Linked DNA regions of Arabidopsis thaliana. The protein of the gene in region 2 interacts with the protein of the main gene of each other region in a pairwise test. Each region holds a gene or a part of one and is shown on either strand. Other genes may lie near its edges.

Region 1 (5,193 bases), on a different chromosome or scaffold from region 2:
CATGGTGACATGATTTTTTATAAATGTTTGTGTAAGAAAAAAAAAGATAAACATTGTTCATAAATGATGCTTTTGAAACTTCTTCGTAATTAGACAAATACAGTCATGTATTTGTTATAGTATAAACTTTGAAAAAAACAGGGATACGAATAGTGTTATGTTAGAATAAATGTAGGAGTATGTATAGTGGGGAAAAGATGAATAGAACCATCGTTTTCGGTCATTTTGATTCTTTATACGCTTCTTTATGGAGAGAGAGAGGTCAATCAAAGAATCTGAAAGATTGATCTTATGACTTTGTCAATAGGTCCATGCAGGGACCATAAGGACCCCAACATATGAAGATGTTTTGCTAAGTATTGAATCATGGAACAAATCAACGAAATAGTCAAAACAAAAGGTCTATCTAGATAAATTATAAACTGCTAATTGCTCAATCGATATTACTTAATAATGACTAAACATGCCGAGGCAAACATTAAATTTGGATTAGAATTGCATGTTGCATGACAAAACTTATATATGTATTCTTACTATTTTCTTAATTGTTCACAAAACTATCATCTATATCTATCTTTCTATCTATCTATACAAGTGATGGTACACACACATGTCCTACCACTCTGACTCTACCGACATTATTGTCCTGAGTTTTTTTCTTCCAGAAAATCTATGTCCGAATCCCCAAATTGATATGAATACGATACTATGAGCACGATAACTCCGGAATATAATCTAAGAAAAAGAAACAAAAAAAATTCTGAAAAAGAATGTAATCCGTTCTCCAGTGTATGTATCTCTGGTTTTTTACTCGTTCTCCATTATTAATTTATGACGTTTAAGAAAGACTCACAAACAAGATGAATAAATGATACAAGGGGATTTTATGGCATATGCAGATTTTGTTTTGAAGTAATAATGTAACAAATCGACATTGAAGTACCTTCCACAATGCGCACTATGCACAAGAAAAGACTCGTCAAAAGCAAAGCAAAAGGTGGGGATGGCTCTTAAGGTCAACAGCTTAAGAATCTTGAGGAGTCTCGAATCTAGTCGGTGTATCGATACCCGCCATACAGCAAAGTCCACTGATCAAGATGAGAAGAAAAACGATTCCCTGCAAAAAGAAAAAGAAAAGGACGAGACATAATCAAAGGCTTTTACGAAATTTTAACACATTGAATTAAATTATCTTCCAGCTAGATATGACCAAGATGCTCATTAAACTTGTCCATTCTATGATGTTTATGAATCTTTCTTGAGAACGATGAATACCAAAAAAACACGAGTAAAAAGAGTAATTACCACTAGTATGCCCTCCAAAAGTGATGACTTAAATTTGCAGAGTTCATCACAGCCAGTAGCAATTTCAGGAGTACTGTTTCCTTTAGCAGTTTCAGCTAGAAACCTTTGGAGAGTTTTGTAAGATGTGTACCAATAAGGATCAGAAACATAAAGAGCTGTATATTTACTGCCGGATTGTTCTACAGAACTAACAAGTTCCAAGAAGCTTTCACCTGCAGAATAGGTCAAAGAATTGCTTAATTTCCTAGTTCTCAAATGATATCTAATTGTTAGTATTATTTTGTAATGATCTTTCCACTTACGCTCTGAATGTGACTGTCCAGCTTGACTATTCGATTCAGAACCCTCGGAACAGAGCACAACCAAGTCAGTTTCTCCTTCTTTCCTTGTTTCTCTTCTAGCAAGCAAATGATCCTGTCAATTATTAATGAGTATTAGAAAGTGAAGTTAAGGGGGTGATAACACTGGGAAGGCATGGGATTAGGGAAAATAAAAACTTAAGAGCAATGAGTATTACTTTGAAAGACTGCAAGTCTGAAAGTTTCTGAATTGTTCCATCCTCAACAAAGCACGAATCTGAGAACACGATATTGCTGACTCCTACATTGTTGGGACAAGCTTCTTTAAGCCCTGAAAGTAACAAATTCTCCATCCTTTCTTCCTCTGGAGCAGCAATATATGGGAATGCCAATGAGAAGTTGGAAGCTGTAAATAGATTCTGTTGAAACAAAGACTTGGATGTTAGAGTATTGTAAACTTTATATCAAACAACTATGTCAGAGATCTGTGTTACGGATGCAATTTCGAAATTTCTTGTTGAAGAAAAGAAAATTTGCACTTACATTCAATGTGTTAACAAGGGCAGGATCTGAGTTCCTTTTTGAAGAAACATCAGAAGACAGTAACTGCAGGCGGAAGAGAACGTGAATATTAGAATTCTCAGCATAACACAGAAGATACAGAGCAAAGACGATTAATTTCCCGCAATATTAAAACATCAGTTTCTTTACAATATCACAACAAGAAACCAAAGATCCACAAGGTCATTTATGCTAATGTTAAAACAACAATACTACATCATTCAATTACCTCTCTGCCTATGAACACAAGTGCAACATCAACAGGTTGCTCAAGCTTCTTCTCTGAGCACTAAACAAAGGAGACAGTAATGACAATAAGAAAAATCATTTGACATCCAGTGAGTTGTAGAATTGAAATCATAAGATCATGAAGAAGAAACCATACCAGAAAGTTTGACCAACCTCCTTGAGTGAAAACAGAACCAACTAGATCCTTTGCAGACATGACCTGATAATTTACAGCCTCATCCAATTCACCATTAGCAGACCTGATTTTCAGAATCACATAAACCAATCAACCCAGTAATCTAAGCTAACTCACATCAGATATCACAAGTCCCAGGCTTTTTACACATTTCCATCAATCAAATTGAGAATTATAGAGAAAACAAGATGCATAACTGGAGATGCGGAGACCAGAGGAAAGCAGGAACTGTGTTCGGAGAAGCCAATCCGATTTCAAAGAGAGAGGCCACAGATAGAAACACCAATAGCGCCACCGCACCAATTTGAATCTTCTTCATCTTCGTCGTCGAAACAATTCTACCGGAGACAAAAGGAAAAAAAATCAATCGAACAATTCCTCACGCCTAACGAAACAATCAGCAAATTCAAAGATAATCACAAACCTAGAGAGATCGAGATCGCTTCCAGAAGTCGATGTATCAGTAGATTTTTATCGAACTTTCAAATCCAGAGAAAGAAGAGATTCATATCTCCGATCTTCAAATCTGGGCGACACATATGAGTAGTCGACATGTAAGGAATTAACGGCGTCGTTTTTGAAACGAAAATCGCTAACCGAGATAACCGGTTTCGGTTATGTTCAGATATTAACCGGTCTGAAGTTTTGGGCTTGATTAGGCTTTTAAAGATTTTCCAATACGGCCCAAAATTTCGTGACTCCGTTAAGCGTCCGTCACTCTGGACAAGAAACGGAAACCTCCTTAAATCTTATAATAACTTCGTCACGATTGAACGGAATATTTCGTTTCCTCATTTTTTTATTTTGTTGCCTCTTCTGCAACGCGATCCCGCCAAAGACACTCTTTACTTTCTCCCTCACGAAAATTCTCAAATCGTCGTTCTCTCTTGATTCACCGATTTCGTTCGCCGGAAAATTGCAATTTAGCATCAGAATCGTCGAGCCATTTTGTATTATGAAAGTCCATTGAAGTAACAAGTAACGAGAGCTGCGAGGTTGAGATTTTACGATGCTTTGTGTTTCGTTACGAAATCGAATACATAATTGGCTTCGCGACTACGTTAGGCTCCAATCTGTCGTTTTGATTCTTATCTATGCTCAGGTAAATCCGTAATCGCTTTGTAGTTGTTTCATTTCCTCCGATTTCACGTTTTTTCTCGTGAATTGTTCGTATCTGTTTGGGATTAGGGTTCTACGATTTCTCTGTCGATATTTGTTTGTTATTCTTTTAATTGTGGTTAGAAGTGCAAGAAACTCATATTGATGAATCATTTGTTTCAGATAGGGTGCGCGTTGATCGGTTCACTAGGGGCATTGTACAATGGAGTCGTGCTGATAAATTTGGCGATTGCGTTATTTGGGTTAGTAGCAATCGAGAGTAATAGCCAAAGTCTTGGCAGAACCTATGCGGTTCTTCTTTTCTGCGCCATTCTTCTTGATGTCTCATGGTTCATTCTCTTCTCCAAAGAGATTTGGTATGTCACTATCCTTGGAACAGCCGTGCTTGTGATCATGATCAAATATTTGGTTTAAGAGTTTGCTCTGTCTTGTTTAATTTTCATTGCATCACATATTGTAAACTGTCCTGAATTTCTCTTGATTGGCTCATCATCTTTTTGAACTGATTGATCTTTAAACCTTTTTTTTTGCAAATCTTTGCTATGTCGTGTTTAGATTCTGTTGAGCCAGTATTCATCTGCTGCCTATAACTGACAAAAGATTTAATTGTTAATGCAGGAACATTTCATCTGATATGTATCAAGTCTTTTACATCTTCTCTGTGAAACTCACCCTGGCTATGGAAATTGCTGGGTTCGTTGTGAGGCTATCGTCCTCTCTGTTATGGTTTCAGATCTATAGGCTGGGAGCTTCTATTATAGACTCTCCATTTCCCCGTCAATCAGATTCAGATTTACGGAATAGCTTCTTAGAACCTCCTCTTTTAGCTAGGCAACGTTCACGTGATCCAGAATTACGAAATAGCTTCTTACAGGCTCCTGCTATAGCTAAGCAACGTTCACGTTCTGACGAAATCTTGGAAGATTCTATTGACGAACCTGCCTCCTACACTCCTCTGTTAGATGGCGGCCTAAGCAATATCACTTTGCCCAATGCAACACAGGTCTTTTTATTTCTACCTATTCTTCTCTTAAGTTGTTTGTGTACTCATTGTAGTTGAGGTTTTTATACTTGGTTTGTCTATGGTTTTACCAATTGGGTTTCCAGATGCTTCTTTTCGGACCTTTCTTTTGAAACTGTATGCAATATAGTGAGAATTGGATTGAACTATCTAGATCACCCAACCATGCTTTTTAGCTCTTTGCCACTCTAGGTTAGGTGAAACTTGTTTCTCACTAACAAACAAAGGCCACATAGTATTGATATTACATCATAGTATGCTGCTTTTCTTGTCTCAGTACTCCTCTAAAACTTACACAGACATAGCAAGTGGGTTTTCAACCTTTTGTAGGTGATTAAGCACCATTCAGCTGGAGACATTTACAAAGGATCCCAATCATCTGCTGCAGAAGCCTCTCGAAAGAAGTCTCCTCTATCCAGATCCTTAGAAGCACTTCATTCTAGTCTCTGTTGATAGAACATCTA
Region 2 (5,016 bases):
GTTTATTTTGTGAGTATGTTCAGGGTTGTATACAACAAGTTACTGGCGAGAAGGTGATTGAGATTGTGAGAGAAGAAAATGATCTTTTATTGCTTCCGCAAGAGCTGTGGTGCTCACTCCAACAAGGCAAAGACCGCGAAAGAGTATTTTCAGTAGGATGGGTCTTTGAGCCAGGCCATGCTATCACATCCAGCTGCGTCTTCTCTAGCGATTCTAAGCTAAAGGTAACCAATAATCTTCTTTGTTGACAACTACATACTCTTCTCCTTGCAACTTGTGGTCATTATTCTATCTCTTTTACTTTGCGCAGGAGGTAACAATGGGGAGAGAGACTGCTCTATCAGATGTATGATCAATAATCGTTTAAATCTCCACAGATCATTCTTATAATTTTCTTTGTAGGATGTGTGCACATAAGTCAAATTACAATAATCTCATATGACTTCCTATACTGATGTTTGATTCAGTTTATCTGTTAATAATACATATCAGTTCGTTTTAGAATGCAGAGCCTTTGTTGATTCAATCTTTACCGGGAAGGATCCAGACCATGGGAACCATATTTCTGCAGAGCTTTGTAGCTTTTGCATATCTTCGTTCAGCTCTATCAAAAACGACTGTTTCACGTACACCGATGTATAGACTTGTCAGTTTGGGAAAGAATTTGATGGAATTTACCTTGAAAAAGTGAGAAAGGCTTAACCTGTACATAATCGTGAGATTGCTTGCTTCTCACTGCGAGACGGCATTGTTCCTGATGCTCATGTTTATGCTTTTCCTCATTGTTCTTCCAACAATGCCTTTCTGCATCATAGCTACAAACTCCCCGTAGTCAATCCTTCCATCCTGAAACAAGAAGAAAAAAATGATCCCTGGCCTTTGACCATGTACTCTCCAAGCCAGAGGATATGTATGCATAAGTCACTCACATTGTCTTGGTCGACTTCCTTGATCACATCTTCTAGAAAGACATCACTCATTCCCTGTTCAGCACATGCGTGCTGTAGCTCATCGATAGTGATGTAACCGCTCCCATCTTTGTCAAAGTACCTGAAGGCTGACAGAAGATGTTCTTCACGCTCTAATTTGTTCAGATGGATTGTTGCAGCAATGAATTCACCATAATCTATGGTCCCACTCTTGTCAATATCTGCCTGGTAAATCACAGTCACAGATTAATACTAAACATACTGATTTCAAGCAGGTACTCACACAGATCAGATCAGAGCAAAGTGCTTACAGCCTCCATAAGGTCACGAATCTCAGTATCCTTGAGGGTTGAACCATATCTTCGCAACCCGGCTTTCAGCTCGTCAAACGTAATCGCTCCACTGTTATCCGTGTCCATTGCTTTGAACATTTCCTTCAGTCCAGCAATTTCTTCCTCCGAGAGACTCTCAGCTATTACCTGAATCACAGCAGAAGACATTTATGGAAAATTGTTCACAATAAAGGCCAAAAGGCTTGCGGCCGGGGGCTTACCCGTAAAGCCATCTGCTTTAGTTTATTCATCGCAGAGAACTGTTTAAGACGAGAAAGCACAGCAGGATCTAGTGCTCTGTCTGGCGCAACTCCATTTTCACAGATCCAAGGATGGCCTGCAAAATTCTAAATAAGCTAGCAGATACACTAATTCAGGACCTGAAATAGGAGCAACTGGTTAGACTTACGCAATACTTGATGAGCTGTCAGTCGCTCAGAGGGCCGGGAACATAGCATGCCACGGATCAAGTTTTTTGCAGAGTCGGATATTAGGGGCCAAGGGTCGGAGTCAAAGTCAATATGTCCCTTCAGCACTGCATCAAATATCCCTTGCTGTGTTTCTGGAGTTGAAGCAAAACAAATATTTAAGAATCTTTTACCTTGGAAGCCTAATCACAGTTGTTTCATTTGGGTGCATACCTGCCCAGAACGGAGGGACTCCGCTCACCAATATGTACAGTATGACCCCTGCGGTCCACACATCAGCCTCGGGTCCGTAGTGCTTGAGCAGAACCTCAGGAGCAACATAATACGGACTTCCAACCACATCCTCGAATATTTGACCTGAAAGTTGCAGATGATGTAGCAAGTGTGAAATTCTGACTGAAGATGTTGCAAATGATGCAGCTGATGTTATCACCTGGTTTGAAGAACACGGAAAGCCCAAAATCAATGGCTTTGAGAGAGAAGTCGTCGTCCTTGTTAACCAACAAGAAATTTTCGGGCTTTAGATCTCTATGCATGACACCAAGCGAATGGCAAGCCTCAACAACACCAACGATGATCTTTATCAGCTCAGCTGCTTTTCTCTCGCTGTAATGTCCTCTCTGGATAATTCTGTCAAACAATTCCCCACCTGAGCAAAGCTCCATCACGATGTGAACATACAATGGATCCTCGTAAGCACCTTTAATGGTGACAATGTTCTTGTAGCCAGCCAGATGGTGCATGATTTGAATTTCCCTGCGTACGTCTTCCACATCTTCCTTTGATATCAACTTTCGTTTTGTTATAGACTTGCATGCGTATTCACGCCCTGTTGAGATCTCTTTGCACATGTAAGTCGTCCCAAACTGTCCTTGACCTAGTTTGTGTCCCAACGAGTAGAGATCTCGGATGCTTGGGGTCTTTTGACCAAGAACATAGCAGGCTTGGTTCCCACCGCTGTGCTTCATTGTGGCTTCTTCCTGGGGGCGTCTTTTGCCAGTTTGTGTGCTGAAACAAATCGTTGAAAGACAAAATGTATTAGAAGTGGTTTGGCTTGTAAAGAATTGCCCATCAAACAAATCCCTTACCAAGTTAGTTCACCTCCCCTTCCAAATTAGTTTGCCATCAGAGGAAAACAGAGCAAGTCCCATAGCAAGATCTGAAACATTATACGAATTTAGCATAAAGAAATCGCAATAATAAGGAGAGACATCAAAACAGGGGAATTAGAGGAAGAGATGGATGTGTACCAGACAAAGATGATAAGAATGGATGAAAATTAAGTCAGATTGGTGCAGATCCGATGATACACATTGTTGAACATGGTTTTGCAATATTCTCGCCAACGTCTCCACATCCTGACTAAAAATAACAAAAGAAGAAGATATCTTTGATTAATAGTCATCAACAGATCTGTCTCTTTAATTAGAATATTCTAAAAATGCAGGGGAACTCCACAAGGCTCTTTTCTTAGGCCTACTTCACATGAGACAAATCAAGACCTCCAATTGGTCGCATCGGAACAAACCTTTAATGATCCCATGGCCTCAGATTCTAGTTGACGGGTTATACCAGAGAAGATGGGTCGAGTGCCTTGATTGGCTACTCGCCAAAGATGTAATAAAAGTTACTTCTTTGAAGCAACACGCATTATTTAGTACATGTTTGAAGAGATATGTACACTAGCAATAGAGAAGCCAAAACAAGTGGGACGAAGAAAAACTGCATAGAATGATTTGCATTCGTATAAGTTACCCACAAGATAATCACTAATAAAACAACTGAAATATATTTAACCCTGACCCTTTCAAGGGGTTCCCATAACTTCTAAGCCAATCAGCCAGGTCACCAGAGCTTCCTTGCTGTTAAAGTTAACCCCACCGCTCGACAAACTCATCCATAAATAACAATACAACCTAACAGCTGCTAGAAGGAGGCTGCATGCGGTCCAAAATCTTCTTTTCCTTTCATCTGCTTGTGAAACCCGGTTAGCACAGAACTGTAAGCAATGGTTAAGATGTAAATGATGCTGGTTGGAGAAGTACATGTTTTGCATCAGGAATTTCGAATTCCAAGCTGCATTACAGAATCTGGCCCAACCAGGAATACACGTCTTGTTGTCTGGATTCGAAACACCACTACTCCTTTATATGCTGTTCGAGGCACACCATCCTACACAATCAAAGGGGTACAAAAAAAGTGACCCATTTGGACCTACAATTATTGAAGATTATAGTTCAATCATCTCAAATTTACCTTCCATTCTTCAAATATACCAAATTCCCCTGCAATGCGTTCAAACTCTACTTGGTCTTTATACCGGATACGAACATCATCCTTTATGTTTTGAGCCTTTAAGACAAGGTCAGAACCTTGAATTGGTCGTGCTTGTCTCACTAAGCCAGAAAAGTACTTGGTATAGTTTCCCTTTGATAGACATGAGAGAACAGGTTAAAAACTACATTTCTCCACTCAAAACATGCAAAATGGTATAAAAAAAAAAGGCCGGAGTTCTGTAAATGTTACCTCTGTCAGGTATCCCAGGTCCTTTGCTTTCCAGTCAACCTTTATGAATGAAATAGGAAACCAGTGAAAACTAGTGATGCAACAAAAGGGGGTAAAAAACACACTTACGCTTACCGTCACATCGTTTAGCTTTATAGGTTCCAGATACTGACTGAAAAACTGTCCCAAACTAGACCCCTGCCAAATTAATATAACAAGGTTATGGATAAGTATGAAATGCAAAAATATATTATGTGGTATTGACTGTCTACATCCATGTGTCGGGAAACTATAGGACGAAGCTGCAATAATACATTTTTCATACAGAAAGCAGAAGTCATATGCAGCGAACATAGGTCAATTTAACAGCATTACAAAAACAGACTTGTAAAACTATGATATATAGGATAGCATAATCGGGTACTAACATGTTCACCAAAATTGTATGTTCTACAGACTTCCGGTCGAATGAATTGGCGGCCTTTATGGTTTTCCTTTAGTCTCAGCCAATCATCCCAGTAAGTGGATATTTGTTAAGAAAAGTCTTAGAAACGTCAAACTATTTTTTTTTTTAGAATTTAAGAAGCGTCAAACTATAGTCATCGAGATTGAAAGAAAAAAAAGCATATAAGGATATGCCTTTGGCCACTTTGGTGATAACTCATCCCAAGTCGATCTCTTGAGCATCCACCCAAGGCCAGGAAAAAAATCTGATCGGTATAGCGCATCTGCAGATTATTTTAGCTCGCATGAGCTAGACATAATGAGGTATTGAAAGAACAGGCAAGAGAGGAAGCAAGGTAAAGAAGAAGAAGAAGAAGA

Evidence for each region. The genes of interacting proteins can lie anywhere in the genome.
Region 1: the proteins of CPK26 (region 2) and AT3G13410 interact in a protein complementation assay, tested with the Arabidopsis thaliana proteins (one large-scale study listed by BioGRID).

Annotation. Positions count from the first base shown.
Region 1 is NC_003074.8:4,361,125-4,366,317, forward strand, and holds AT3G13410 (2-C-methyl-D-erythritol 4-phosphate cytidylyltransferase), read right to left. Parts: upstream 3,193-5,193; 5' UTR 3,014-3,192; intron 2,928-3,013; 5' UTR 2,909-2,927; coding exon 2,787-2,908; intron 2,654-2,786; coding exon 2,551-2,653; intron 2,455-2,550; coding exon 2,395-2,454; intron 2,211-2,394; coding exon 2,148-2,210; intron 2,024-2,147; coding exon 1,823-2,023; intron 1,720-1,822; coding exon 1,608-1,719; intron 1,518-1,607; coding exon 1,306-1,517; intron 1,118-1,305; coding exon 1,025-1,117; 3' UTR 511-1,024; downstream 1-510. Other genes in the region: AT3G13420 (uncharacterized protein), read left to right, coding at 3,599-3,691, 3,871-4,064, 4,327-4,711, 5,060-5,182.
Region 2 is NC_003075.7:17,928,262-17,933,277, forward strand, and holds CPK26 (calcium-dependent protein kinase 26), read right to left. Parts: upstream 3,242-5,016; 5' UTR 2,940-3,241; intron 2,922-2,939; exon of another isoform or gene 2,849-2,921; 5' UTR 2,841-2,848; coding exon 2,791-2,840; exon of another isoform or gene 2,778-2,790; intron 2,698-2,777; coding exon 2,123-2,697; intron 2,047-2,122; coding exon 1,903-2,046; intron 1,824-1,902; coding exon 1,671-1,823; intron 1,599-1,670; coding exon 1,483-1,598; intron 1,409-1,482; coding exon 1,241-1,408; intron 1,155-1,240; coding exon 930-1,154; intron 847-929; coding exon 733-846; 3' UTR 704-732; intron 641-703; exon of another isoform or gene 618-640; 3' UTR 556-617; downstream 1-555. Other genes in the region: AT4G38225 (glycerol kinase), read left to right, coding at 24-224, 311-346, 510-521; CGL1 (alpha-1,3-mannosyl-glycoprotein beta-1,2-N-acetylglucosaminyltransferase), read right to left, coding at 3,745-3,861, 3,946-4,116, 4,216-4,254, 4,330-4,392, 4,623-4,716, 4,832-4,922. UniProt on the Arabidopsis thaliana protein: May play a role in signal transduction pathways that involve calcium as a second messenger.